Callithrix jacchus: one gene and its partners. The protein of the gene in region 3 interacts with the protein of the main gene of each other region in a pairwise test. Links are inferred from orthologs where the notes say so. Each region holds a gene or a part of one and is shown on either strand. Other genes may lie near its edges.

Region 1 (10,097 bases), on a different chromosome or scaffold from region 3:
AACCGTTTTGGCACCAGGGACCGGTTTCGTGCAAGACGATGTTTCCCCAGATGGGGAGTAGGCCACATTAGATTCTCATGAATGTGCAACCTAGATCCTTCTCGTGCTCAGTTCACAATAAGGTTCACGCTCCTATGAGAGTCAAATGCTGCCACAGCCTGGTACCAGTCCACAGCCCAGAGGCTGGGGACTCCTGCCTTAGGTAACCATCTAAGTATGCTTCTTCATCAATAATATATAAATAATATCACCTAAATTTTAGTATTTCCAGGCTTAAGTAAGGCATTCAAATGTTACGTTTCCTTTCCTTCTCCTTATTTAAACAGAGGACATGAAAAAGTCTGACACAGGATAAATACTATTGGTTTCCTATGACACACGACAAATACTTACTATTGGCTATTTTTTGTACCTGGGGCTTTTATTAGTCCACTAGGGCATATTTAATAACTGTTTTTAACTGCTGAGCTATGTAATCATCTAGAAATCTTTGTTAGCTATTAATGTGGCTGTTGAGCTATAGTCTTAAATGGTGATTAATGATGTCTTCATGTAAGAACTTTTGGCCCTTTGGTTACTGTTGAAGAAGGAAACATGGAGGTCTTGTTTCCTTCCTTCTCAACTGAGAACATCTTTCTCAATAACACACAGCCTCAGTAATTATACAATTTTATATAGTTCTGTGTAACTATGGCTCTATTTGATAAAGATCGGAACTTTTAATTCATGGAATTAGCTGCTACAAATACGGAGGGTCTGCTCTATCTTGTTACTGACACCACACATTGGCACCATTTTGTACTATCAAGAATCCTCTTTATATTTCTGTATTTTTTCCTGTCCGATACTTAACATTTTCATAACACTGGTTACGAATGAATAAAAAATTAGCGCTTGGCTTATCCCAACCAATAATATTCCTAGTTTCAGCATCCTTAGACTAAAGCTTAGAAGTACCAATACCCCAAGCCAAGGGTTGGAAACCACAGCCGGTCAAACGAGTCTGGCCCTTGGCCTGTTTTTGTTAACAGTTTTGCAGGAACACAGACATAAGCATTCATTTACATACAAAGGCTGCTTTTGTGCTACATGCCAGAATTGAATAGCTAAAACAGAGAACATATGGCCTGCGAAGCCTAAGATTTAATATCTGGACTTCTACAGAAAAAGTTTATAGAACCCCATGCTAAGTTTAATGTTGGGAGGTCTCCTTGCTCTTTCAAGGGCAGATGCAACTTAACTACTGTAGTCTCCAAACTTAACTGAATATGGAAGGTGGCCTGATCAGATGTCAAATAAAAGGACAATATATATGTATCTTTTTATCTTTGAACTCCCTCCTTGAGAGCAGTGACAAGTTTCTGTCATCTAACTGGCTGTCAGTTCAACAACCAAAGTGAAATATCAAGCCACTTCGACGTAAAAGAGACCCCATGTGGGCGTTGTTCTCTCTTAAATGCCTCGAGTATCCAGTTAACAGTATGTGCTTGCATTTAACAATTAGGGAGACACTTATAAAATTCAACCTACATGCCTAGTCTCCGTAACTATACAGTGAGTGACTGAGGAGCCACTTTAAGAAATTAAGCAACAACAGTTATGTTTGTAATGGTCTCAAACTGGAAACAACTAAAATATCCTTCAATAGGTACCATAAACCATATGGTAAATCAATACCATGGAATACAATTTGGCAATAAAAAGAAATGAACTACTGATTCTGTGTGTGTGCAGATGTGTATATACATATATATGTATGTGTGTATATACATATATATGTGACAACTTGGGTGGCTCTCAAGAGCACTGTGATGAATAAAAAATCTAATCTCAGTGGTTGTATATTATGTAATTCCGTTTAGATAACATTCTCATAATGACAACATTACAGTGATGAGGAACAGATTAGTGATCCCTAGGGTTAGAGCTGTTTGGGAGTAGGTACGGCTACAAAAAAGCATGAGGGAAATCATGATGGTGATAGTTCTCTCTCTTGGCTGCAGTGATGGTTACATAAATCTACATATGTAATAAAATGGTATGGAGCTATTCACACACATTGTGCCAATGTTAACATCCTGGTTTTGATACTGTACCACAGTAACATAAAATGAAAAAGTTGAGGGAAACTGGGTTCAGCCTACATGGACTTATCTGTACGATTTTTGAAACTTCTTCTGAATATATAATTATTCCAAAATAAAGTAAAAAAAACCCACAAACTTGCACATGCAAGAAAACTGACAGCAAGATAAAATGAATCATAGTCAATTTTATTCCAGTTCTTCAAAATTTATACTCAGTATGTTGTTTCCAAAATGTAAGTCACCCTTTACATAATAATTTTATTATATCATCTTTCCTTTATAGTTTTTTCATTGTTTCTTAATGGTTCTTCAGTAGAATCCAGAATCTTGAGTTGCCCAGTTAGGAGCCTAAAATATGCAAAAAGAAATCAACAGGGTAAAAAGAAAATACTTTTGGAAAAAGCTAACATAGAAGAAAGTGACAAAGCATTTACTTTAGCACTACTCTTGCCAAACCATTGTAAGATCTCAACTCCTGTGATTACTACATAGATGTCAGTGTCCCACTTAGGACAAAACAAACTTATCAAAATCATTATCTGATATAGTTTTTGGCCAATTAAAATGTATAGCAATAAACAGTATCATTAATACCGGAACAATAAAAAATACAAATAAATCCTGAAGCATACAGAAAAAAAACATCATATGAAAGTTATTTTTCAAGCTCAGTTATTCCAAACTTGGTTAAAGTATGCAATTCGCATTCGAATCCATCCTTCTCTTTAGAACTAAAGGACTATTCTGCCAACACAAATTTGTTGTAAAATTTCAATCAAACGGGGTTTCTGCATATCCCACAACTGTTTCCTAATGACTTCCTACTCTCCGGTTACACATATTCATAATGTCTAAACAACATTAAAGATAGTTTAGGATTCCAAAATTATAAGGCCATTCAAGTTTCTTTAATATCTAATATGCAGGATCTCTACCAAAATGGGAGATTAATTTTTGATATGAATATCAGATGAAAGATAATGAAATCTGTATAAGATCAGGACTAATACATATGATAAGATCAACATTTTTACATAACTGTTTCTTTAGATTTAGAAAGAATATACATTTTGAACACCTGAAAGAGGGCTACACATGTAGGTTATGATCTGCCAGTATCAAAATGATATGTTGAAAACCCTGAGGAAATGAGTTAATGAAGTCACACAAAAAGAGTAAAAGCAAAAGAAAAAGTTACAATAAACTAGGATACAATTTCTTTTTCAGTTTCCATGTTTAATACATATAATACAGCTAAGAAAAAATTCATTTCTGTTAAGTAATTTCTTAAAATGTTCATACCTTTAAAGAGAAAAACAAAATCAGCTACAATTCATATTGACAGACTTCCAAAACCGTCATGTAACAATTACATGGTTGCTAAATCCCAGACAGAATAGAAAATGTGTGGTTCTTACCTCTGACCTGCTATTCTGATTAAGTTTCTTCTCGATATTCATGGCCAACATCTGGCTTCTAAAAGAAAGGCTTTTGGTTTTTTCAATCACTTGCTGATAGGGTGAGACTGCATTGTTACCCATAACCACATGACCCTAAAAGGAAACACAGGGGAACAGATTCTACAATGTTAACAACTTTCTCAGTAAGTAATGAGCATGACATTACCTTTGCATATATCTTAATGCACTATATAGAGATGACAGTATTTACCAAGCAAGAAGAAAATATGAGGCTGCTGTTGCCTTCAAAGAACTGTTTTACACTGAAACAAAATAAATTATTAAAGGCGGTAATAAAAGGTCCTAGTTAGGAATTCCTAAAAGTAAAATCAGGAACTGACAGTATACAGCATAGCTAACATAATACTCACCAATTTAGAATCAATCTTGGCATCCAGTCTTGCATTTCTAATCAAATTTACAATCCACCTTTCAGCTTCTTCTGGAGTCATGTTCAGTTTATCTGCCAACATGCTAATGAAATAGTAAAAACAGCAATGTTAATTAACTGGGCCCAAAAGCTTAGTTTTGTGTACACTGTCTTGACTCACTCTCTGCATAGAGACTTTCCGGTATTTCTGGATCACCCTTCTCTTATATACCATGACCCCTAGTGTTTGTTTCATTCATATGCTTCTGCCTATTGACCTGTACTATGCACGACATATTCCCTTCACCAATTGGACTGTAAAATCCTTGAGGGGAAAATACCATATTCTGTATTTACGGAAATCCTCCAGCTTCTAAAACAGTACTTTACATTTACCAGATGCTCAAAAAGTAATGATCTAAGGGGAAAAAAGGTTTTATGATGTTTCCTCTATATAAGGGCATATTAAAAGTCAGCCCTCCATATCCACAGGTTCCACATCCTCAGATTCAACAAACTATGGATAAAAAATATCTGGGGGGGGGAACCCAAACAATAAAAAATAACCATGCAAAAATAATACAAATGAAAAACCAATACAGTATAACCCCTGTTTACATAGCATTTACTATTTTTTTTTTTTGAGACGGAGTTTCGCTCTTGTTACCCAGGCTGGAGTGCAATGGCACTATCTTGGCTCACCGCAACCTCCGCCTCCTGGGTTCAGGCAATTCTCCTGCCTCAGCCTCCCAAGTAGCTGGGATTACAGGCGTGCACCACCATGCCCAGCTAATTTTTTGTATTTTTAGTAGAGACGGGGTTTCACCATGTTGACCAGGATGGTCTCGATCTCTTGACCTCGTGATCCACCCACCTCGGCCTCCCAAAGTGCAGGGATTACAGGCGTGAGCCACCGCGCCTGGCCCTCCATTACTATTTCTTAGTCTTCTAACTACTTTACCTCTTGAGTCTCTTCAATCTATCTTACATAGCTACCAGGTTAGTTCTACAACCCAACTATTGTAGTCCCCCCTTATCTGTAGTTCCACTTTCCTTGGTTTCTGTTATCAGCAGTCAATCCCAGTCTGAAAATATTAAATAGAAAACCCCAGAAATAAACAATTGGTAAGCTTTAAATTGTACACTGTTCTGGGTGGTATGGTGACACCTTGTGCCGTCCTACTCTGTCTCACCCAGGACTTGAATCATCCTTTTGTCCAGCATATCCACGCTGTATACACTATCCACCCATCAGTTATATAGTAGCTATCCCAGCTCACAGATCAAGAGTCCTGATATCACAGTGCTTATGTTCAAGGAACCATTATTTTACTTAATAATGGCCCTAAATTACAAGAGTAGTGATGCTGACATATTGTTATAATTATTCTATTTATTATTAGTTATTGTTGTTAATCTCTTACTGTGCTCAACTTATAAATTAAACTGTATCGTAGGTATGTTTGCACAGAGAAAAACCCAGTATTTATTGGGTTTGGTACTATCTGTGGTTTTAAGCATCCTCTGGGGGTCTTGGAACATACCCCTTGGATAAGGGGTACTATTATACCCAGTTTATTCCCAAATTCCTTTCAACACTTTTAACTTTCCAAGTTCCCATTATTCTCTTTCACAAATATGCCAGCCAAACGAAACCAATCCTTTTCCTTTGCTAATATTCACTCAACAAAATATAAACTGTGTTACATGCTGTTGACAAAATATCCTCTGTTGCCACCCTTTACGGAGTTTAAGTCAAGGGGGTCTTGACTTAAACATCACTTGATCTTGGGAGGCAGAGGTTACACTGAGCCAAGATGGCATCACTGCACTCCAGCATGGGCAACAAAGTGAAACCCATCTCAAAAAAAAAGGAAAAGTAGAAGGAACTATCTATGTGAGATCCAAAAAGGTCTACCAGTTCTAGGCTGGAGATCTGGGAACAGCTTATCTAGGAAAATGATATTTACTCTTAGATTTTTAAGACAGTAGAATGAAAATTCCATTCTAGGCTGGATGTGTGGCTCACACCTATAATCCCAATACTTTAGGAGGTTGAGGCCAGAAGTTTGAGACCAGTCTGAGCAACCCAGTGAGATTCTGTGCACATGTGTGCATGGACACACACACACACACACACACACACACACACACAGACACAGGCTTGGTGGCTTGCACCTATAGTCCCAGATACTCGAGAGGCTAAGTTGTATCATTTGAGCCCAGCAGTTTGAGACTGCAGTAAAGTTATGACCATACCACTGCACTCTAGCCTGGGTGACAGAACAAGATCAACAAGATCCTGTGTCTCTATAAAAAATAAAAAGCAGGCCAGGCTCAGTGGCTCATGCCTGTAACCCCAGCACTTTGGGAGGCTGAGGCAGGTGGATCACCTGAGGTCGGCAGTTCGAGACCAGCCTGACCAACACGCAGAAACCCTGTCTCTACTGAAAAGTACAAAATTAGCTGGATGTGGTGGCGCATATCTGTAATCCCAGCTACTCGGGGGGCTGAGGCAGAAGAATCGCTTGAACCGGGGAGGCAGAGGTTGCGGTGAGCCAAGATCATGCCATTGCACTCTAGCCTGGGTGACAAGAGTGAAACTCTGTCTCCAGAAAAAAAAAAAAAAAAGACAAGACAAGAAAATTCCATCTTATGTAATAACTCCAACTAGAATTCTCTTATCTTCCCTCTTTCTGTACATCCATACTTTGCGGATCTTTGTTTGCACTGTGCTTGTTGATCATTTATTTGTTGATCTTTATTAGTGAATCAAGTCAAAGAAAAACCTGAAATAAGGCCCAAGAAATACTAGTATATTATTTATGGCATTTCAGTTTATCTAAGCTATTGATTATCATTCTGAATTAAAGAATGTGGAACTAGTCTAGTTTGTTTTAAGTAACATGAAAATACACAAAGTAAAAGAAACTAAGTGTTTAATAGACATGTAATCTTTTAAATTTTACTTTCGGAGGCCAAGGCAGGAGTATTGCTTGAACCAGGGAATTTGAGACCAGCCTGGGCAACATAGCAAGACCCTGTCTCTACAAAAAGCAAAGAAAAACAAAAAGCAAAAAAATGACTAATAGATATAATCAAAATCTACAATTCTTTTCCAATCTAGCAATTTTATACAGAATAGTACAGATTTTAAAATATAAGTGTAATATTCTATCAAAACTTTAAAAAGTTGTCTCCCTGGTGGTCTAGTGGCTAGGGGGGAAAAAAAAAAACATTCAAAAACCAATTTAAAAAAAAGACAAAAATGCTTACCTCATGCTACTGAATATAATTCAATTTATCAATAAACCGAAAGACAAAAATCCAACAAAATGCAGAATTTCTGAGAAAAATACTTAGTTCAATCCAGATTTTGAATGCCAAGATTTCTAGATTATCTAGATTACACTAAAAATCTCAACCTTGTCTGTAGGCAGCTTAAGGTAGATATTTAAATATGTTCTATAAATCCCTTATAAATATCTTTAACCTAAGTAGCTCTCCTGCTCAATTGACACACAAAAAACACAACATTGAATATGTTAAATAAGATGTGCACAGAATTCTTAAGGGCTACTTCAAAAGCCAAAGCCAAAAAAAAAAATCATCCTCAGTTAAATTTAATTAAACATGTTCATGGTTCTAGCACAAAATGAAATACTTTTTTGTTTTCAGGAAATAAAAAATACTAGAGATCCCACTTAAGGATACAGATATATGTTCCCACAGATCTAGGAACTGATTCAACTCTAGATTTTCTGTCAGTTTTTCACTGCCTAATCGTTTAAATGGTCTTCCTTTTCTGAATGGTCCCATAGCCACCATCCTCCCTCACCCTCTCATCTGAACAAAGATTTGGAAAAATAAGGATCTGAGGAACGTATATTTCACCTGTCTTATTAATTACCTCTTTGAATAACCTGGCTTTCCAAATTTTATATGATAGGCACAATTTATTTTGAAATACTGCTGATTTAACAATTAGGATATAGGAACCACTGGTCTAGTTTCTACTGAAGACTTGGCCAACTATTCAGCATATCCAAAGAAAAGTAATCCAAATCTTTTCTGATTAAAGACAACTAATTAAAGATTAAGTGTTAAGTGCAAACTGTTTAATTGTATGACTGGGAGGAAATAGAACAAAGAAAACAGGAGAAAACTGAGAAATGCTAAATCCTTACGTGACAACTGAAAATTCTCACTGAACTTCCCAACATCTCTTTATAATCTTATAATTAACTAAACCTTATTGATAATGCAAAAATACAATGATAATGGCCTTTGAAACTGTTTCTCTCCATCTGGAAACGTACCTTTCTATTTCTCCCAACTATCAGTAAATAATTCTAAATATAAATTATTATGTGGTAATAAATTTTAAGACCTAAAATGTAACTCAACAAAATAAGCAAAGTAGAATAACTTCAAAACTTAAAGTAAGCCCTACCAGGAAATTATGTTAACGTATGTTCCAACATGTTTATCATAGACATTCAAAATATTATTTCCATACTTTGTTTTTATCTACAATTGAAAACGGGTCCAAGAATTATTTTAAAACAACAGCTTTTAAATTTCAGACACATACCATAGCTGATAAAACTATTCAGCTACACTAAATTAAACCCCACCACAGTAATCTTTTTTGACAGATGTTGCATGCTTTATGGTAAACAGATTTGTAACTTATCCTACATATCTATAGGCTTATATAAAAACATTCTTTAATATGCATTTTTATAAAGCTATGATTATCACGTGCTTTCAGGCATTTAGTCAGGAAATCTATTAACAGAGAATGTTCTAAATTACAAATGGAGTTGTTTAATAATCAACTATTGGTTTTATAATACTATTTTCAGCATTTGAAATGTGTCCTTTGGTGGAAGAAAAAAAGCTGCAACATATCCTTCCCCTCCTCCTATTCCCCAAAAGACAGAAAAGCATCAAATAACTTTAACTAAAGGTAAAAATAAGCCAGCATAAACGAGTGAATGGAATTTGCCACAGTTAGTATTCAATGCAAAAAAGTCTAGTTTGGGGCTTAAAGATATTCCACTTAGAGAGTTATCAGGATTCACTGAACCTATCTAATTTTCTTCTCATTGCTCTTCAAAGCAGAGTGACTAGAGAATGATATGGACTTATTTTCAATAATGTTTAATTTCAAATATAAAATTTTAAAATTTCCCAAAATTACAAATATTTTCAATAATTTGTAGTTTTATATTTGTCTACTTATTTAACATCTGTTTCTTCTTCTGGATTTTAAGCTCTTTGAAAGTGTACTCACTACTTTCCACTCTGTGATTGGTCAAAAGAGGCAGTCATTAACATCTGTAATGTTTTCTTTGGAGAGCTATACTACTAGTTAGGCTGCCATTAATTAATTATACCTTAATCATGACACAAACCGTATTTGCCATTTAGGAAGCTAACACTAACTTTTAGAAAATGTTTTGCATATTCTTAAAGCAATAAAAATATAGAATTGGAGAAAAAAATGAGTGTTTGCCAGAAATTAAGGAGAAGATGGCAGGGAAGGGAATATCACTATAAAGGAGCAGCTTGAAGGATCCTTGTGATAGAAATGTTCTGTATCTTGAATGTATCAACATCAACATCCTGGTTGCTGTATCTTAAAGTGGTTTTGCAAGATGTTACTAATGGGAGAGACTGAGTAAAGAACACAGGGGGGGTCTCTATTATTTCTTACAACTGATACAAATCATCTCAAAATAAACAGTTTAACTTTTTTTTTTTAAAGCCAGATCTTGCATCAAAATCCCTTAAAGGATCTTTTTAAAAACAAAGTCACTGAGGTCTCCCTCCAGAATATGTTTTTGTTTTTTAACCGTTAGGCTCAGTCATCCAGTATTTTTTATTACTTGAGTCTGCAATGAGTTTCCCATTTGATTCTAATGTGTTGTCAGTATTACAAAATCACTACTTTACAGCAATGTTTCCCCAAGGCTGACTGCAAAAGAATCACCCGAGGTTTAATCTCAGATTCTCAAGTCTATATCCCAGAGATTTTGAGTCAGATGGTCTGAGATGAAACCAGGAAATCTATTATTTTTAAGCTTAAATTCTCATTGTTTTACTTCTCCAGGTGATTTCAATGTACAGCTAGGTTTAAAACCTTGGGATCAGAGAACAAGTACTTTTTTTTTC
Region 2 (10,729 bases), on a different chromosome or scaffold from region 3:
TTAGTGCCTGGTTCAAGTACCATTATTATTTTAAAGGGGGAAAACACCATTTTAGGATTTTAATTTTTGATATTTTGTCCAAATAAGGTTTCACTTAGAAGTGAATGTATAAATATAAGGTTTTGTATGCTTTAATAATTCATGAATATTCAAAGTCTAATGAATACCAGTTTGATTCCAGCTAAAATGGCAATTGACTGGAATCAGACTGGTATTCATCAGATTTTGAATATTCATGGATTATAAAAACAGAAAAAAGGAAGGTTAATTATCTAAAATTTATTCCAGCAAAAACTACCATTTTTAACTGGAGTCAGACTGGCATTCATTAGATTTTAAATATTCAATTATACTTAGAAAAGTAATGTATCCTAGTATGAATACAGGCCTCTAGAAATTAATGACTGGGGAAGAAAAGGCCATAGAATCATAGATTACAAGAATTTAACAAAAAATATAAAATATGTTTTTCTCTTTTGCTAAAGGTGTGTTTCTCAAATAGTTTTCTTTATATGTATTCCCCTGTCTCCTTCTTCACCAACACCATTTGATCTTGAACCTTTAATTCTTGCTCTTTTGTGCTGCATGCATCAGTGAAACCTCCTCCTCCTGTTAAAGAGAAATCCACACTAGCTTATTTTTACTCAATAGGCTTAGAATTAGAATTCTACAGAAAAGACCAAAGAATATTGAAATTTGAAATTAATCAAGGTTTTTGGCTAAACAACAATCATCTCCAGAGCAATTTCCATTCAAGAGAGACATTATGCACTCTGTTGCTTTTCCTTTCTCATCATATATATTCAGTGATAGCCATACACAAATAATGAAAATAAAGAGCAGAGTAAGTAATATGCTTATAACACAGGTAGCATTTTACATAGAATTATAAACTGCCATATAATGAACATTTTCAACACCAATCAAGAAAAATCTTTAGATTACCTGAGATTGAATGTGACTATCAACTAATGAATCAAAAGTTCAAGGTAAAAAATAAATGCCATATATTGCCAATGATATTCTCTCATTTAAAAACATGGTCTTCTTTTTTTCAAATGATATTGAAACCCATCTCTTTTATTGACACAGTAAAAAGAACCCAAATCTTGGAAGTAGATGAAAAAATCAGTATTTTAATACCACAAACTCATTCATTCCTAATGAGATTCTAGTCTTTACCACACTTCAGAGCAGAAGACCTATAAAGAGCTGGGATACAAAGTACATCTTAATTTCAACTGTTTAGCTATTTATCTTCTAACCATGTGCTTGCTTATTAACTGTTTCCCAGTAAAACTCTTTCAAACAGATCTTTTAATAAAGGCTCTGAAAAAATTTCATTGCTAGTATTATAATTATTACATAGGGGAAATAACCCAGTGACAACAAGTATTCAATTTTACAAAATGAATTAGTAGGGTCTGAGAAAGAATCTAAGACTGATTCAAGACAATCCCTTTAATCACAAATAACCAGGGCAAACACAGTCTTTTCCAGGTGTCATCCTAATACCCACTTTTTTTTAACCCCAAAAATCATTTTCACAAGGCCACATCAGCTATGTGAATTAACAGATTCTCCAGTGCTGTAGCAAAGATAAAACCTGATCCTTAACAGTGGTTAAGTTTAGCAGCTACTGCTGCTTTTTCCTTCTTCTAAGCAAAAAAAGGTTGCTTTTTTTTTTTTTTTTTCCTGTTTTTGATACTTAGCTGATCTGCTTAGGGGTAATAAAAAAAGCAGCTGTTTTCCTAAGATCTATCTGTCTATATATTTCTATGGTATGTGAGAGTGCGGGAGGGAAGAGTATATACACTAGGTTATACACTAAGTCACTTAGGCTTATCGGTAGTAGCACTCAGTAGGACTGAACTTTAAGCTGGGAAGAGAATTCATTTGAGCCATTTCTTTTCAAAAAGAAATTTGGAATGCATTACAAAAATAACATTTAAAATCTTGAGAACTCAGGAAAGCATAGAAACAGGAGAAAACAAGGCAATTACTCCATTTTATTGACCCTAGTTATTTAAAAAAATCTAGATTAAAGTATTGAGACAGACTCCGAAATATACAACTGTCACAATGAAGGCATTTCAGAGCAAAATTTGCTGCAATATGCTACTATGATTAAAAGCCATGTAATCTGGGAACCTCTGTAACAAAATGAAAATGAACTAGGAAAATAGCTTCTTACTACTTCTCTAAAAATAAGAGGCTGTAATTTTGTCATAATTACACAAAGGTAGGTGAGACTTGCATCTTTACCTGGCATGACAACACATTTCCATCCATAGGTATTACAGTTACATTGCTTTGAATACACATATGGTCTAATACCGAGAATAAACTATTATTTTATGACACTACATGTTTTAAATCTGAACCCACTATCATAACACATATTAAGGGTAATCTTTAAGTGCATACTCTCTAACCAGAGAAAAGATTCCCATACAGCTTTCTATGCACTCTTGTTTTTCAAATGTACACATATTATCAGACACAAATGAGAGAATAAGGAGCAGCAGTGAAGTACACCATATGTTCCCATTGTACGCTGAATCCAGGTCTTTGTTCCAATATTACAGAGCCACTGGAAAGAAAGCTAACTATCCATTCATTAAAATTCATTTTTACATTATTGCTGGCAAAAGTTACACTTTTGATAGATTAAGTCAGAGCCCATCCTATCCTGACTATTCCTGCCTGCATTTGCTTCTTTAAAACGGATCTCTTGCAATTCTAGGAACCTGCAAAATAACTACTCTGGATAACAGGTCGGTAGCAGGACAATCTGATAAACCAATGTAAAGGGTAGACACTGAAGAAGAACGCAAAGTTCTTTTCCTAGTGAAATAGTTCGGAAGTCATTCTATATCAATAGCACAATTTTTCCTTTTTAGAGGCTACGCACCTATAACATCCACCAGATAACATCCACCTCATCCTCTATTAGCAGGGTTTTTCTCAATCTTGAGATCTCCCAGAACAGTTGTACTGGTGCGACTCAAACCAAAAACACTAACCACGCCCTTTATGCCCAGAATCAAGCTTCCTTTTGCTTTTTTGCTCTTAAAGTCCAAAAATGTAAATCTTTCACCCGAGAGGGTTTGCACCGGTTTCCTAACCCAAGGCGGACTCTTATAGCTGTGTCTTGTAATTCCCATTGGAAAACATTTCCTCCAGGGCAGTGCAGACGCCCCGAAGAAGGACCCCCCCCCGCCCCGCGCTTACCTCCCACACACCTGCAACCCCTGTCAGGATTCTGGAGCTGGTGCCGGGAGGGCTGCGCTCCGCTCCGCGCTCGTTCCTGCTTTCGTCTCTCCCGGGAAACTACAGCCCAGACTGCGCCTCCGGCTTCTACGGGGACCCAAGCTCCGCCTCCCTGTCCTCCAGTTGGCGAATTTGGCAGCTGTTGCTCCTCCCCCTGCTGTTTCTGCAGCTGCCCGGGCCAGAGGCAGCGGAAAGCAGCTGCCTTGGTACCTTCCCGCTCCCCGCACTTCTGCAGCTGCTCTGCTACTTCCTCTCCCCTGGGGGGGGTCCCTCTCCCCTCCTCTGTGGCCTCACACCTGGAGCTGCCTCTGGCCCCACCCAGGCGTCTCTGCCGGGAGCCCCGGCTCAGCCGATCCCTCCCCGACCCGTGGGTCAGGTTCCCCGGCGTGCGTGGGGCTTAGCTGCTCTTGGGGAAGCTGCCCCTCCGTCCAGTGCAAGTCCCTACACCAAGCCCTTCCTTCACCCGGGAGATTTCCCGGAGGCTTCCTCTCTACCCGCAAGGCATACTCAGCCCGATAGCCCCACGTTCCCCACCACGGGCCCCTCACCCACTTCCTTCCTCGGTTCGGTCAGCCCGCCCCCTCAATGGGTGAGGCGCCTGCCGGCCCGACCCCGCACCCTGATTGGCGCAGGTGAGGGTTTGCCCCGCCCTTCCTCTCCTATCCGTGCACCATCTCTTTTCTTCTCACCTCCTCCCGCAAAGGAAGGGAACTATCCTGCTATTGGCTAGGAGTGTCCCCACCCATCACCTCAGGCTCCCCCGCACGGCCTGCCGGTAAGTGTAGTCTTCCGAGTGCAGGAATTACGGACAACACCGGCAAGCAGGACTACGAGTCCCCATAGGCCTCTGCGCGACTCCGACTGGGCAGGATTCCGGACAACGCCTGGTTCCTCTCGGGTCCTTCCGGCGTCGCCGGAGTGAATTGATCCGGGAGTTGAAGAGGGCTGCAAAGGTGGGAAGTGAAGTCAGTGCCTCAGTTGCTGGTAAGATGTAGCTGTTCTGTCCCAGTCCCCGTAGCTCTCCACTGAGCAGAAGAGGTCTAGGGTCACGTAGGGGCCATAGCTGAGGCACTCGGGCTTGGTTCTGGCAGGCGGAGCGGACGGGGCTGGGAGCGGGGCCCTACGGGCGTAAGCGAGGTTACCCTACGCGAGTGGCGTAAAGCCGGTTTGTAAATGCCGCCTGCGGGCTTGGGCCCGAACGCCTCCAGGAAGTCTCCTTTGGGTGGGGGCGGGAGGGGAAAGGCGAGGTTGGCCCCTGGTGCCCCAGGAGCAGGGAGAGGGCGGATGTGCCTGGGGTGGGGTTCTTTAAAGGTGTGGCTTCGGACGGAGAGGTGAGGCTGTTGTTTTCCCCTTGCTTTGTAAGAGAAAGGGAGGAGGAAGGAAAGGGTGCTTGGGAGTCTGCTCTTGGGGTGACTAGGGTTATGCCCTTTGAGGGAAGAGGAGCACTGGAAGAAGGAAGAGACAAATGTTGTGGTCTACGGATTCAGTTCCAGTTTAATGATGTGGCTCCTCTAAGGAGGTAATTTTGCCTTAAACAGAAAGGCTTGACCCTCTTAGGTGTCATACCTAAGGTATGTTTACTCTTTTACTGCTTTCAGAGCGCTTTCATGTTGGGATGCTGATGAGGAAACCGAGGGATTATATGACGTGCCCAAGGTCACACACGGAGGGACAGACTTTCTCAATCTAGTCTGGTTCGAGTCCAGCTTCTAAACCAGAGCTGCTGCCCGACAGAGAAAGATTGGGGATGTTGGTTGTGTTTTTTGAAAAGGGTGGAGGAAGTTGCAAAGTAAATGTATTTCATATAGTACATCTAAGAAGCCATTGTGAGATGAAAAGTTGTTTCTTGAACTGAAGTGAAATTCCTCAATAAAGGAAAGAACCTTTTGGAAAAAATAAAAAGGGTCAATTTCAACTTTTACAGATTTTCCCCCTTTTATTGGGGGTGTATTAAAATATATTCTATTCTCACAGTTCATTTTTAAGGGTAGGTAAAGGGATGGGTGAACAACAGTTAAACAATGTATCCCTTCCTTAATAGAATATTCTTTTTCTACCTTAGGACTCTTTTTACTCTCATTTTGTAAAACTGATAATAGTGGGATTGGAATTCTTTCACAAGACTTCACACCTTTTCCAAATAATGTAGCCTTAGGAGAGTTTAATGTGCTTATTACTAGAAAAGAAGGTATTTTGCATTTCTTAGAGGTAAGATCCTATCGTTTGAGATTTTACTTTTCCCCCATTTTCTTGACTCTAGGCTCTTTGTGTATGTGTGTGTCTGCAAATAATAAAATCAGACTCTTGCATATTTTTTTCTTAGCATCATCTGTGACTTTTAAGTCATTCTTGTTTTACATTAAAGAATTTTTAAAAGTACGCTTATATTTTATATCTTGGAGAAAGTAGTGCCCTGTGCCAGTCTTATCCGCTATAATTGTTATGACCAGTTATATCTCATGACTGTTATTACTGGGTAAGTTTTTAAGGGAATTGTAATAGAATTCATTGATGGTAGAATTTCTTTGTTTTAACTTTAGATCCATAAAGGTTAGCATGTAGAAAATCATGGCTTATTCTTAGCATGTAGTAAGTCATAGGTTACTGTTTTATAGACAAGTTGATCATTCGACTATGCTGAATTTTGAATGTACTCTGCAATTATTTTAGTATCAACAATGTGCTTCACTTTTTAATGCAAAAATATTTTTTCGGAACAGAGATATGTTCCTGGATGATTGAAATTAAGATGGTCTGGAAATTAATGCGATTTTAAAATAGAAAAATTATGGTGCTATAGAATGAAGTAAAATCAGGAATAATGTGCCATGAGTAATAATAGTACACAGACAAGAAAGAATCAGTTAAACAAATGAAACATTGTGTGAAGATAATTGACTTCTTTATTAAGAAGGATTAATAATCCTTAATCTTGCTGGATTAAGAAGGCTGCGGTAGTGTAAGTAGACCATAAACTGAACATGTATCATTGATGGTAAAGCAAGAATATTAATGTATTTTCTAGATGACAGTGTAGGTATTTGCCTTTTGTTGAAGGAGGTATAAAATGAGTTCTAACCTTTGGCATGTAGCTATGTCATTATGGAAAGAGCTTTTGAACTGTGAGGAAAATTTGGAAATAAGTTAATATAATGCATTTGTTCAGTGTATTTTAGATTTCGTTTTCTTGTTTCAGTTCTAACACTAATTTCTCTTTATCTCTGAGGCCAGTTATAGTTTCGGCATTTCTTCTCCTGGGCTGGTGGATTAATGTTTGTATTGTATTTATCATCTTTCAGTCAGTCACATGCTGGAGTATCATGGTCACTTTAGATCTCTGCACCTTGGTTGGATAGTTAAAGAGTTCACAGAGTTATATATACACATGTATTCTAAGCGTAGTTTGCAGCTCACCAGTGTCTGCATTTCTTCTCATTTTGGGCTTTGCAGAAGCCTTATATCAGCTTCGGGACATTATTTCTCATAGGACTTAAGATGTCTTCCATGTATTATACATCTGTCTTTTTCTTTAAGGATGTAAGGTCTGTAAGAACAGGTGCTGTGTATTATTTATCACTGTAGTCACAATAGGTAAGATAATATTTACAAAGAGAATGAAGAGGCTCAAGTAGGTTAAGTAACTTGCCCAAGGTCATGCAACTACTTAACTGGTGGGAGCAAGACAAAATTGAGATCTTCTGACTACAGATCTTTAATATTGTGGAGTAGAGACTTAGTTCCCTTATTTACATGAGAAAAAGACTTAATGTGACTTAAATATTCAAATACTATTACCCACTTACTCTGTTTAACACTAAAAATTTATCTCTTCTCCTATCCAGCTCTCCATCCTTACCTCCAGCCTTTTTCATTTATGATGCCTTTCGCTTACTGCATAAGCTGCTTCCTGACATGGTGGTCTTTACATATTCCATCTCACTCCTTGGACAGTTCAACTCTTACCTTCCTAAATGTGGCCACCTGGTAGTCAGTTTTCATGTCTCAATTTAAATATCATTCCTCAGGGGAGCCTTGCCTTCCTACCCAAAACCAGCACAGGTTGCCCCTGTGTATTCACCATACTCTACACCTTTGTGGCATCATCATAATAGAAACTTAATTATTTCTGTTTTTATTTGAACAAATATTTGTGTGCTCATTGAACTATAAGCTACCTGAGCAGTGCCCTCTCATTTGTCATGTTTTACCCCAACACATATGTAGTACCTGGCACAATGTAAGGGTTCAGTAAATATTTGCTGAATGAATGAAGGAGTATATTCATGCACAATGCTTCCAGCACTTTTCTGGGGACAGAAATATAGAAATGAATAAAGTAGATAGGCTTTATGGATTGAAATATATAAGAACTTTAAAATGAGCTATGTAACACTTAGGCAACTTAGGTTATATGCAAAGGAGTCATTGACAGAATTTTAATATAAACTTTAGAAAAATGTGTATTTTTGGAGGTCTCTGAAATCAGGAATAATTTTCTAAATGAAAATGATAAAGGAATCACGTTCATTTACAGCAAAATTACTGTGTAACACAGCATTTTAGAGACTTACCACTGTCCTGCTTTTTTGCAGGTAATATTCATTGTATAAAATATAGGCATGGACTACAGACTTTAGACTGTAGACTAAAATATAGACTTCTATTGACTCTTCTTTCCTAGTGTTATCTCATTTTGTCCTCAAAACTTTTATCTCCTCTAAGTAGTAATATTAACACTGTTTCGTAGCTGAAGACATCAAGAAAATAAGTAAATTTACTTATTAAACGCAAAAAAGTTTAAATTGCTAGGGTTTCCAGAAAGTAGGTACTAGAACCACGGTTAGACTCTGGATCTGTCTCCGCATTCTAAAATCCATGCTTTTTCCTTTTTCTTTGCTTTTGTTTGTTTGTTTGTTTCTTTTAAACCATGCTGTCTTCCTGTGACTTAGACCTTTAATGTCACTTGATTTAGACAAGGTGGCTTTGTAAAATTTAGTAGTTTTTGTTTCAAAGGAACTTATATTTGGGGTTTTCTGAAAATTTTTGTAGTGCTAAAGTGAATCTTACTTGCTTTAAACCTATAGACTTAAGTATAAAAAGATCATCATTTTTAAAACACGCAAGCTGAATTTTAGGGATAAATTGTGTTAGGTTTTGGTCTTGAAAACAAATTCTGTAGTTACTTGCTGTACCACAGTATGGTCTAGAATAAGGTCGATAGCCCTGTATTTCTGTAGCCTTGTATGCCTTTATGAATTTACCTGTTTACTCTTTCATAAGATCTTGTCAAAAAGAGATTGCTGATATTTGGCTCTAAAATTCGATAATACTATCTATTTTATTAATAAAAGCAAGTCTTTGCTAAATCTTAAACTTTTTAAAAAGTCAGTGTTGATGTTACTTGAATCTTGGATAAAATTTTCATACTTACCTTGCATAACCAGTATGTGGAGGATAAAATTCAAGTACTGCTTTTTACATGTTGTCGGACTATTAAGCTCATTATGATAGGCGTTACTAAGAATTTTAAGCCACTTCCATGATAAGTAATTTTTTCATAATATAAACTGTAACAATGATTTAGAAGTTAAATTTCATTGTTATCTATTTATTGCACTTGAAATATAGTAAGCTTCAATGTTAGAAGCTTATGCTTTAGGGATAAACACACACAAACACATAATATAAAAAATGAAAGCACATTTATTATAGCAATTAGAAATAATTTATTTGCTGGAAGATAAACATTGTGGTTTGGTGGTTCAGTTTTGTTTGTATGAAGATGGAAATTTCAGTTTTCTCATTTAAGCTACAAAATTTAAATGTGTCTTAAGTGTATTATATTACCCTTATTTTTCAAGCTCACCCTCACATTTTTGGTTATGTATAACCATTTTTAAAATCACCCAAAAGTGATTTTATGCTATTCAGTTTTATTCTTACACAGTTGATAGAATCAAGATTGCCAATAGGGTTAAAAGATAAAGGAAAGAATTTTATTAACAAGCTTATGAACTACTGGGTAACAGCAGTGGAGCATGTTAAGTGGTAGTCACTAACATGTATTCAGTCAGGCCAGTCCCTTGGGAATAAGTTTACCAGAGGTCAGTCTAAATAATGATCCTTTGATTCATTTACTTATTGAATGCATATTACCTGTGAAATTGCCTTAAACCTTCTTGGGAATGAGCTGGAACCTAATACAATAGCTAGTGTTTATTGAGTAGTAAGTGACTTAGTGCTAGGTCTCAAGCATTTTACAGGCTCTCTTACAACAACCCTTAGAGGCAGAGGCACTATAATCTCCAATTTTTAAATGAGGAGACTTTACAGAAAGGTTAAGGACCTTGCCTAAGGTTGCAGGAAAAGTTACTTGGAATTAGGATTTGAATCCAGGCTGGCTGCCTCAAGAGACCATGCTTTTTTTCATCAATACAGTAAATGTAATGATGAAATTATATTTCATCATTGATGTTAGCGATTGAACTCCATTGGAGAGAAGTTAGCATTAAGAGTTGTAGTTACAGAGAAGTTATGTCTTAAATTCTGAGGCCAGTGTGGCAGGCAGGAAAGTACTTACTATTCAAACTTTTAAAAACCCTATTAGGAAGTACACATTGTAGACTAACAACTTCAACACAGCATATTTTTTTCTAGCATTGAAGTAGATATCTTTTGAATACAAGGTGAAGTGTTTGACTTGTTATTCAGAGACCATGTTGAAAAAAGAAATATGTATATTATAATGCAAGAATCACAATTAGTGTGGCAGGCTGCTCATTGTGAGGGCTCACTGTGGCTCTCAGTCTGGTGGGGGATGTGTGTGGCAGAACCATGTTTCTTATCTCTCATTCTGGGACTTGTGTATATAGAATGGAATTATCATCTACGTACTCCAGTGGTTATTTTTGATAAAGTTATTTTTCGTTTTCTTCAAACAAATGTTGACTGTGTCTGTTGAACTTGCATAGGGTAGGAATATCATGTGAAGCAGATATGCTCCCTGGAGTGTTAATGCCAAGTGGCAGTGTGACATGACACTGCATTTCTTTACTGTCTCTTCCCTGCAAGACTACATACCCTCAAGGGTATATGCTGTTAGACTTTTCATCACCATGTCTTCAACTAACACTGTTGCTGACTTAGACTGACTATGCAGAATACTGTTGGATACTAGGAAATAGAGAAATGGATAAAACTTCCCTTTGGGGAGTTAGACTTTAGTAGATACAAGGGGAAAAGGGTTAAAAGACCATGGTATGGATATTTAGTCTTTCTAATATAGTAAGTACTTCCATGTGCATCAGTTCATGTTATACTTTTAGGTTAGAGCTGATAGAAAAATAAATGATAGTTTCTCTAACGGCCATCTGGTCCCTGGCACTGAAATGGGTCTCCCTCTTATTCAGTCATTCTCTCTTACTTCAAGATGGACTGGAATTCAACTGAGATTGAA
Region 3 (10,623 bases):
ACACATTTTGCCAGAAACACAAAGGTAAATAAAATAGCTCATGCCTTCTAGGATTTAGGTTTTAACAGGAAAACAGGTAGCAACAAATCTCTGTGTAAGTGCAGAGGCAATGTGCTTCCCTCTGAAGATGGGGAGGAAGGAGGAGAAGGATGATGACTGAGGAGTCGTCTTGCTCATAAATTCCCTTTGGTGAAAGAACAGGACCAAGGGGAGCCTTCCCATATGCCCTGTCTTCCATCTCTTGTCTCTTGGATCTGCGAATCCACACATGCACCAAAAAATATTTTTATAAAACAGAAACAGAGCAGTATTGGTGAGCTTTGGTGATAATGCATAGGAAATAATTAGATGAAGTCTTGTATCTGGTTGTCATGAAATAATTGTTCTCAGAGAAACTTTAATGTTTTAAGAAAATAAGAAATTATTCTGGTTTATTGCCTGCATCATGTGGCTGAGACTAACGTGCAATTTACCACCAGTGAAAATTATTCCATTACTCACAAATGGTAATATCCTTTAGGTTGAAAAGGTTAAACCCTTCTCCTTTCAGTTCTCAAAGAAAATGTAGAGAAGTTAATAAATATTTGAAAAAAAGCATTTTAAATAAATAGAATTTGCTTAAATATCTTCTTTCCTAGAGTAAAGGACACAACAAATAATGTTTGTTTGCTATGCCCAAGGCATTATGCCCTGGAATGATTTCAAAAGTCATGCATGACTCCTGCCACACAAAACCCTACAGTCTAAAACAGACACAGCTAAACCAGATGAGACTGATTTCAAAGTCTGTAAGAGTGAAAGCCAGGTGCTGAGGATACACTACAGAAGAGCAATTAATTCAACCTGAGTCTCAAAAAGGTTGGCCCAGAGGACATATAGCTGAAGCTAGAAGAATAATTAGGATTTAGCTGTCAATATCAGAAAACATTTCAGGTAAAGGAAGCTGCATGAGCAAAAATGGGGAGTTGAAGCATATTTCAGCTGACTTCAAATGCTGATGGGATTTTAGACTTTATTCAGTAGTTAGTAGTGTTACCAAAAGCCAGGGGCTCAGCCTAGGTAGGTCCTGTTGCTCGCTACACAGAAAGTCAATCACTAAGGCAATGAGTATTGTCAGGGAAGAAGCCTTTATTATGAATGATATTAGCCAGAGGGACAGGAGACAAGACTCAAATTTGAATCTCCCCTGGCTAAAGTTAGGGTTTACGTGGGGGAAGAAAACAGGCGGGGCAAGAAAGAGGAGCTGATTAACAGGCAGCAGGTGTCTAGCATCTCACTGTAACCTCCTATAGGAAAACAGAAATTAGGGAGGGTTGAGGAAGAGGAATTGGTCAACAGGCAGCAGGTGTAAGTTTCCCAAGCTTCAGCGCTATCAACATTTGGCTTTTTGGAAAACTGGGCTGGTCTCAACAGGAAGCTGGGAAAAAGTGTTGAGGAAGGACAGTTTCTTTGTCAGATGGTTTTCAGATGGAAGAGATCAGAAGCTGGGAGACCAGTAAAGACATGTCAATGATCTAAGTTAGAAATGTTAGAACCCGTTCTTAGAAGAGTGACAGTGATACTGCTTAGAGTAGGGGCAACTCAAGATTAATTTCAGGGCTTAATGGATAGAGGTGGTTGATGAAGGGGAGAGAAAACTCAAATAATTCCAGTTCCAATTGAAATTGAGTAGATAGAATTATGAATGTAAAGCGAACAGGGATGAAAATGAGGAAAATCATAAAATAAACTTGCACCTAGAGAGTTTAAAGATAAGACATCCATCTGGCCGATTAGAAATATGCAACCTATCCCATGGGGAAATCTGAGATAAAAAGAACCCACTCAGGCCGAGGCGGGTGGATCACGAGGTCAAGAGATTGAGACCATCCTGGTCAACATGGTGAAACCCCGTCTCTACTAAAAGTACAAAAAAATTAGCTGGGCATGGTGGCGCATGCCTGTTATCCCAGCTACTCAGGAGGCTGAGGCAGGAGAATTGCCTGAACCCAGGAGGCGGAGGTTGCGGTGAGCCGAGATCGTGCCATTGCACTCCAGCCTGGGTAACAAGAGCGAAACTCCATCTCCAAAAAAAAAAAAAGAACCCACTCGGTTGTTTCTTTCTCAGGTGCCCTTACTACAATGCCTAATATGGTGTGGGGAGGTTTTTGGTTATAACATAAACTGATGCCATAATTTTTTTAATGTTGTTTCTTTTTTACAACTATTTGACAAATTTGGAACCATGTTGATAAATCCACTCAAATAAATTAGCTTTTCTATCTTTCATAACTCATTGGCTGGGAACAATCTACGTGCCAATAAAAACATGAGCACACCTAAAAAAATGAAATGAATCATGGTGTTTTCATCCTGCCATGCATCAAGAAACCGTAGGTTTTGCTTCCGTATGTTTTGCAAGAGCCCCCTCAGATCTCAATTTGGCATTCCAAGAGAGCTGCAGGAAGCACAGGTTACACTTTATATGGACACACGGAGGGGCCAGTTCCAGGGTATCAACATGACAAATTACATAATACTGGTAATTTAGGGATACAAATAAAAGCAGCACCTCTGGTTTTATAGAATGCCAACCCTCACTATTTAATAGAGGAGGGGAACTTCACCAGCTACTTGTGTATATTCAGAGCATGGTTCTCAAACTGGAGTGGGTACCACTTGCTAAAACACAGATTTCTTCACCCTCTCTCCCCAACTATTTCTGAATCAATACGTCTGGGGTGGGGCCTAAGAATTTGAATTTTTACTACATTCTCTCAGATTATACCAATGCTATTAGTCTAGGAACGGTAAACTTTAAAACCCAAGACAGGCTGGGAGCCGTGGTTCAGCTTGCAATCGCATTTTGGGAGGCCAAAGAGGGCAGATCACTTGAGCTCAGGAGTTCAAGACCAGCCTGGGCAAGTTAGGGAGAGCCCACCCCCATCCTAGTCTCCACACACACACAAAATTAGCTGAGCATGGTGGGCTGGTGGGCATGTGCCTGTAGGCATTCCAGAGGCTGAGGTGGGAGGATCCCTTGAGTCCCAGAGGAGGAGGTTGCAGTGAGCCGAGATGGCACCGCTGCCCTCCAGCCTGTGCGACAGTCAGACCCTGTCTCAAATAATAAATAAATACCCAAGACAAATACCAACGCCTTTTTGGACAGATAACCTACCTGATAAATGTTTCAATATCCTGTAGACACCAATTAAGTGTCGACTTTATTGGACATGAATGCCATTATTGACAAAGGATGTAAAACCACATACAATTTTCGGCAACAATCTACCACTTTACAGCGTGCAATCCCAGCGCTGCAAAATTAGAAGGATTCAAAAAATGGAGTCTTCAAACTTCCAAAAGCCTGGCAAATGTCATGTGAATGCGGCTGGAATCGTTAAATTAGATACACTGAAAACCCAAGGACACAATGTTCATCCTTAGATAATACTCTGTCCAGCTGTCTCTCCAATATCCTGTTTTATTCTCTCGCTGGATGAGTTGAAAAGAAGAGAAGAGGGTAAGCTAGGTGGCGCAGTTGCTTAACACATTATTTGTTTATTTATTTATTTATTTTTTGGCAAGCCCAGCTTTTGCTTTGGAGCACAGGTGAAAAGAATGTCCTGTCCTTAAGCAGAGTTCTAGGGTAAAGCAACCAGTTCTCCATCCACTTAGGAATATGGATTGGAACAGCTACGAATGTGGAGCTCAGGAGATTGGATGCAGTGTTGTGGCCAAGGTCCTAAGACCTCCGGAAAAGAAAGGGATGGTGGGGGAGTGGGTGAGGGGGGGGACAGGGAACCATGAGTTCACTGAACTCCCACTGCGGCCTTTAGGTTGCAGCCGAGTGTTTACAACTTCCCTGGCTATTATCGTGGTGGTGGCGCCCCGTTCTTGGTCCATGTAGCTTCTACAGGGCTGGCGAGGGAGCTCACAGCTGGTCTAGGCGGCGAATGCCAGAAATGAGGAGGAAACCGAAAAATGCATGTTCGCGGGGTTTGGGAGTACACATCTATTTGCCAGAGCGTGCATTTGTTTATCCCCTACTCCAGTCCAGGATCCTAGGAAGCTTGCTTCTCTCCAGCGCAACATTGAAGTAGGCACCACGGAGTGTCCCGGGATGGCAGTGGGCTGGCATGGTCGTTCGCGTTCCGAGGTCAACAAGCGCTTGGATTTTCTGCTTCAGTGCGCCCGGGACAGCAGCTCCGACCCCGGAGACGTCGAACGTCGGACTCCAGGGGTTCGATCCCTGGCCCCGCCGTATCCTCCCGGAGCGCAGGTAAAGGGTTACGCGTGTCGGGGAGGCTCGCCCGCGGCCGGGGCCACGTGACACGCGGGCCCAATGACCGCGCCGGGGCGGCCGCTGCGAGCTCGGCGGGCTCCAGGCAGCGCGGAGCTGCTTGCGTTTCTTGGCGCGGCCGCCTGAGGCCGGCGAAGCCATGGGCGCCGCGACCCCGCCGCCGCCGTCGCCGTCCGACCCCAGGTAGGGACCGTCCCCCGTCCCGCGCGCGCGAGGAGGGTTTGAGTCCTGAGGAACTTGGCTTTAGGGCGCGCTTTCCCCCACTTCTCTCCGTGGTGCCTACTTTTAATTTTAATTTTTTGATTTGCTTTTGCCCTGAAAAAAAAAAATTAGAGAATGGAGAGACGCAGTTCGGAGTTTGATGACTTTGGGAAGAGTCTCGTAACTCAACAAAGGGGCTGTAAAAGGGGCAAAACTGGGGTAGGAGGAGGCGGACTTTTACAGATTCCCAAAACTAAACACCAAGGCGTTGGTAAAGCTTGGCGTCTGATTGGTTGTGTGAAACATTTTTGCTTTTAAATCCCTAATTAATGAACTTTCAGCGGTGCGTGCGAACTTGAAAAACTGCAAGAGATTTTCCCTTAGCTCTCCCTCCCCTATTTTTAAGCATTTTTTTTTTTTAAATAAAAAGGAAATGGAATGTGACCTCTGCTGTTTCTTTGAAATGTCCTTGAATCTCGGGATTTGCTCCCCTCCAGGGGTGCTGGCGGCCTGGGCGGTGGATGGGGTGGGGGGGAAGAGGTCATGGTGCCAGGAGGCCGCACGTAGTGAGAGGGTGCCAGGTGCAAACAGTTAAATAGTCACAAACTGTTTGCTAAATATTTAATAATTAGGCAAGCATCTCCCAGGTTGATTACTTGGGTTGCATTGACGTTGGCAGCCCTGGTGAGGCGAGATTTTCACAAAGCACCGCTGAATAATTTTCCAGTGATAAAAGGCAAGAATCAATGCTTTCTACCCCAGCACAGCAATTGACCTCAAAAAAAAAAAAACCTCCCTCTGATGACTTAGTACATTTTATGTTGCTTTCCATGGTGGCAGAGATATCTGCCCCATGATAGATATTTGCCCTGTGAATTTAGAGGAAGTCTGTGCTCCAGAGGTGGTTCAAATCATTGAAGAATAGAGGTCTATTTTCTTTCTGTCACTATTCATGGGAAATATTACTGATGATCCGTGTCGCCCAGGTTTGTGGGTGTCCTTGGTGGTTGCAATCAAGCAATCTCTTGTGAGGACTAATACCTGGAGAAAAGATAAGAAGCATTTGAGAGTTGAATGAGAAAGAAATGGAGAGGGGTTACTGCTTTTAAACATAATAGAGTCTATATTTGCTGCCTACCCCTTCCCACCTCATTTAATCCTTCAGTTAATACTATTTGAAGGATAAGACAAATGTTAAAGGCCATAGACCACCCTACTGGTCCCAGCTGGGAAACACTGTCAGGAGGCAGATAATTGAAACAAGGTACATAACTGAAACAATTTGAAGCTTAAAGGTAAAGTTAAGTTCCAGAGTTATTTGTATTTCCCTAAAGTGTGAAGAGTGCCTTAGTCACTGAGGAACAGACGCTGAGACAGCAAGGGAAGATGTGCTTCCTTCTTTTCTCAGCCCACTCTGTGTCCATCCTGTGATCCTCCTCCATCATTTATTCAGCACGTGTAATCCTGATCCTCAATGGCTCCAGAGATTTAGATATATATTGATACCTAAAGAGAAATAGGGCCAATTCTCTAAAGAGAATAGAAATCTTTGCCATGCTTCAAAGAGCTTTTTGCATATCTGAGATTGAAGACAAAAACTTGCATACCAACATGTTCTATTATCCTAAACATGGAATGACTCCCTTGACTTCCCACCCAGACCCTTTCTGAGCCTGGACACACAACCTGGTTAAGCTCCAGCCAGAATCCAGTTGCAGCCTAAGGCAGGGCACAGGTAGGGCACTGCACAGGTAGGAACGGCCCCTCTTCTCCTAGAACAGCCCGCTCTTGGTGCCCAGAAGCCCATTCACTGTGTTTCTTGGAATAGACTTCAGTTTCCAAATAATTGAATAGCTGCCTCCTGGTAGCTGGGTTTCCTCTCCCTAGACTGTGTTTCACATTCCTCTAGTTACACAATTTTTCTGATAACCCTGAATCTTGGGATCTTTTATTAGAGTCTTGGTTAAATAGTAACTAATTACCTATGTCCTGCTTTTCTTTCTTGGTCATTAGACAGATTTTCTTTCTGGTTGTTCTTTTTGGTCATTAGACAGATTACATGCTTACAGAGAGACTTTCTAGGTGTGTAGAAAAGAAGAGTTGGGAAAAGTCAAAGGGGTCATCCTAGGGGAAGCAGACTTGGAGTCTTCACCTTTGTGCAGATCAGATGGGTCACTCATTCGTGGCCTTTCTAGAGTGCCTGCTCTTAACCAATGAGCCATCCTGTGTCTCTAGTTGTAGAGATTATTTGATAATCTACAGTCCTGATGTCTCTAGTTGTAGAGACACAGGATGGCTCATTCCTTACTCTGCTGTTTAAGAAAATAAACTGTAGGCTGGGTGCAGTGGCGAATGCCTGTAATCCCAGCACTTTGGGAGACCTAGGTGGATAGATCACAAGATCAGGAGATCGAGACTATCCTGGCCAACATGGTGAAACCCCATCTCTACTAAAAATACAAAAATTAGCTGGGCGTGGTGGCATGTGCCTGTAGTCCCAGCTACTTTGGAGGCTGAGGCAGGAGAATCGCTTTAACCCAAGACGGGGAGATTGCAGTGAGCCGAGCTTCCACCACCACATTCCCGCCTGGTGACCAAGCGAGACTCCATCTCAAAAAAAAAAGAAAAGAAAAGAAAAAGAGAGAGACAATAAACTGAAAAATGAAATTGTTCGTCTACTTGCGCCATTTTTGCCTGAGAATATTATAGTCCCACAGAGGCTAGTTAAAATCTTCAGGACTGTAGATTATCAAATAATCTTTTCCTAAAGCATACTTGAAACACCAAGCCAATGAATATGTATCCTGAAGCAGAACATTAAGACTCAAAATGCTGACTCAGTGCTGTCAGGCACTGGAGAAAGATGTCCCTGAGCTACCATGAATATGAACGAATGACAAAAGGCATCTTGTATCCAGACTTCATCACAAGTGGCGAATCCTGTTCTGTTCAGCATGCAGGTGCTTCTCCAAAAGTAAATGAAACCCTGACCTGGCCTTAGAGACATCATGTGTGTAGACCCAGAGACACCAGACGGCCGATGAGGTTCTGAGGACACAGTCCTTGTCTTCAGAGATCCTAATCTTGGGAGAGACCGTTGAAGGATTTCAAGCAGAGCAGATCTCTATTTTAGCAAGTTCATGCAGGCTGCCATGAGAATGAAACAGAAAAGAGACAAGCGAGACCAAAGGCAGCTGCAGCAAAAATCCACATTAGAAGAGAGAAAGAAGTGAATTGATTCAAAAGATATTTAAGGAAGCATTGGTGTTTAAGATTTTAACTGTAAGAACCCGTTAGGTGACTTGAAATCTCTGACGTCAATTTACATGTCATTTCAAAATACATTTTCTCCAGGTAGATAAACTTAAGTCACATTTCATTGCAATGTTCTTCATGTGGATTCTAGTTCCTCTAGGGCTTCTCATGGTTTTTAATCACAGAAAAAAAGTTTCTAGTATATAGCTGGCCAATTACATTTCACATTTTTTCAACAACCTAGTGCTTCTTTCTGCCAACTTAACTATATAAATCTGAAGGCAAAGCTAAGGTAAACTGTTGCCATCATATACACATTCTCTGATTTAGCTTAACTCCTTCTGGGAGCAAAATCACCCTGACATTTGATTAACACTAGTGGAACTGGACAGTAGAGTAGCCTTTCTTTTTTATTGTTTTCAGTTGACCACAACGTGGCCTGCTATATATCACAGAGAGGATTGTATTGTATTTGTAAGAGTATTAGTGACATGCGAGAGGCTATACATAATGCCTGTGTGACAACAGAAGTCACCTTGGTTATTGACTCATTGCCACATGCATAGCTTTTTAATACAATGTGTATTTGAATATATTCTAAATGTATTCATTCACTTGATCACTAGTTGCAGAGTAGATGTCTACACACAGGAGTTTTAAATTTTGATTTTGGTGTTAATTCTTTTCCCTCATTTGATAACTGAGTATCATATATATCTTGGTTATTAATGTGCAGTAAATACAAAGATTTGATTCCGTATAGCTGTAAAATAGTGTCCCTTTTATTTAACTAGATTGTCAACAATCTTAGGCCTCCAGAATATTTATTGTAACCTAGAAATGCATAAAAAAAGTCCACCTTTACCTTCAAATTGTTGATAAGAGCCACATACTTAAGATTCTTACTAGAACTTATTTGACATTATTTCATTTCTGATTCCTAATGAGCTCCATAGCAAGGAGATCCACTTTATAGTTTCAATGTACAGCTCTTAGGATAAGTATGAAATGTGGTTACAGCCAACTGCTAGGCAGCAAAGACGATACAGTGAACGTGGTCTGTGATTAACCCTAAGTCTGCAAGAAAAACGTTCAATTGTGTTCAACACTATGTTAGAAAGGAATAGGTACTGCATTTTGGTAAAAAGGACACTTGATCTTTGTTAGAGCCGGAAAATAACTTTAAAAGTTACTTGGTGTAACCACTTTCATTTACGGATGATGAAACAGTCTCAAAGACGTTAAATGATTTGTCCAAAGCCGTACAGCTGCCCACTGGAAAAGCTGAGGAAACCAGAATCTCAGAGTCCCAATTCCTGGTTTAGTCATCTTCCTACCTCTGACTAAAAAGCACAAATGTCAGTATTATGAACAACTCATTCTCTGTTAAGTATAGTATTTTCCAAAACATAGCCACTGCTTATTGAGAAATTACTTATATATTCAGTATCGGTTCTCTATTGCTGCGTAACAAATCACCACAAACATAATGGCTTAAAATAGCCACCGTTTATTGAGCTTGGGCTTCTGTAGATAAGCAGTTTGGGTGGGCTTGGCTGGGCAAACTACTGTCTTTTCCAGGCTCTTTCATGCATCTGTGGTCACCAAGGCAGCTCTACCTCTCAGTGTTGGTGGACCATCAGCCACGTCATGTGGGGAGCAGCTGAGCCTCCTCTCTTTCATGATTTAGCAGGCTAGCCTGGGTTCATCACATGTTGGCTCAACTTGGTTGCAAGAGAGAATGGAAGCAAGGCCTACGGTCAAGTGACCCAACTTACTTCCACTCCAGGCTATTTCAAAAGCAACTCAAGAAGCCAGCTCAGATTCAAGGGGTGGAGAAATAGACCGCACTTTCTAATGGGAGTGGCTGCAGAGTTACATTAGAAAATGACATGAATTCAGGGAGGGATGGAGAATCACGGCCTTTTTCACAATTTATCATATGCACCTTGCACCTTACATAACTTGTCTAACTTAATTCTCACAATAGCACTAAAGATTAAGGCAGAAATGCTATTTTACAAGTGAAGAAACTGAGAACCAGCTATGTTAGTCTAGATTAGGCATAACAGATGGTGAGTGATAAATCCAACACTGGGACTTGGGTGTGTCTAACTCCAAAGCCTTCGCCCAGAACCACGATGGAGCCCTGCCTCCCTGCGTTTTGCTGCAGTGAAGGGTGATGGTATTACTAAGTATCATAGAGCTCAGAGTTTTGCATGGAAAAAAAAACTAACTTTAGTAAAACTCCTTCTGATTTATATACTAAGAGAAATAATATCAAACATGATTATGCCCTCAAGGAACATATGGTCTCATTTATATATGACTGCATGTGTACACATGTTAGTTAAGCAATAAGATTCCAAGTAAAGAGAAATAAGACTGGATAATCAGAGAAGCTTAATAGAGGATGAAGTGATGCGTTTGGAGAGACTAGAGAAAGCCCTATTTGAAAATAGTATCTGTTAATATCTCAAAAGATTCTCACATTATTTATATAAAATATGCAATATTCCCATTATATGAGGGAAGTTATTTGCCCTAAGTCACACAGATAAAACCTAATCAAGATGACATTTAAACCCATGTCCATGTATCTCAAAAAACTACTACCCTTCTATTTTTTTCCACTAAGCCAGTAAGCTTTGCTACTCAAAGTGGGGTCCATGGACCAGCAGCATCATAACCACCTGGGAGCTTGTTGGAAATGCAGTGTCATGACTTCACCTCCAGGCTACTGAATCAGAACTTGCATTTTAACAGGATCCCCCAGATGATTTCATAAGCACAGCAAAGGCTGAGCTCTGCACTAAAGGGAGCTTGGGGAAATGACTTGCATGAGATACCTGAAGGATGGTGGAAGAGCTTGCTTTCTTTTTATT

What was found.
Region 1: the proteins of PGCKA1 (region 3) and EIF3E interact in binary tests that used the Homo sapiens proteins (3 or more experiments, as listed by UniProt). The two-hybrid records come from large-scale screens. The link is inferred for Callithrix jacchus from reciprocal best matches to the Homo sapiens genes PGCKA1 and EIF3E.
Region 2: the proteins of PGCKA1 (region 3) and PDCD10 interact in binary tests that used the Homo sapiens proteins (3 or more experiments, as listed by UniProt). The two-hybrid records come from large-scale screens. The link is inferred for Callithrix jacchus from reciprocal best matches to the Homo sapiens genes PGCKA1 and PDCD10.

The regions. Positions count from the first base shown.
Region 1 is NC_133517.1:88,833,834-88,843,930, reverse strand, and holds the end of EIF3E (eukaryotic translation initiation factor 3 subunit E), read right to left. Parts: intron 4,022-10,097; coding exon 3,919-4,021; intron 3,641-3,918; coding exon 3,506-3,640; intron 2,436-3,505; coding exon 2,397-2,435; 3' UTR 2,253-2,396; downstream 1-2,252. UniProt on the Homo sapiens protein: Component of the eukaryotic translation initiation factor 3 (eIF-3) complex, which is required for several steps in the initiation of protein synthesis.
Region 2 is NC_133518.1:19,307,931-19,318,659, forward strand, and holds the start of PDCD10 (programmed cell death protein 10), read left to right. Parts: upstream 1-4,169; 5' UTR 4,170-4,257; intron 4,258-4,429; exon of another isoform or gene 4,430-4,604; intron 4,605-10,729. UniProt on the Homo sapiens protein: Promotes cell proliferation. Modulates apoptotic pathways. Increases mitogen-activated protein kinase activity and STK26 activity. Important for cell migration, and for normal structure and assembly of the Golgi complex.
Region 3 is NC_133504.1:156,337,737-156,348,359, reverse strand, and holds the start of PGCKA1 (PDCD10 and GCKIII kinases-associated protein 1), read left to right. Parts: upstream 1-3,607; 5' UTR 3,608-3,721; intron 3,722-4,034; 5' UTR 4,035-4,261; intron 4,262-4,349; exon of another isoform or gene 4,350-4,465; intron 4,466-10,623. UniProt on the Homo sapiens protein: Acts as a tumor suppressor. Acts as a tumor suppressor for colorectal cancer cell proliferation by targeting KEAP1/USP17/ELK1/CDK6 axis.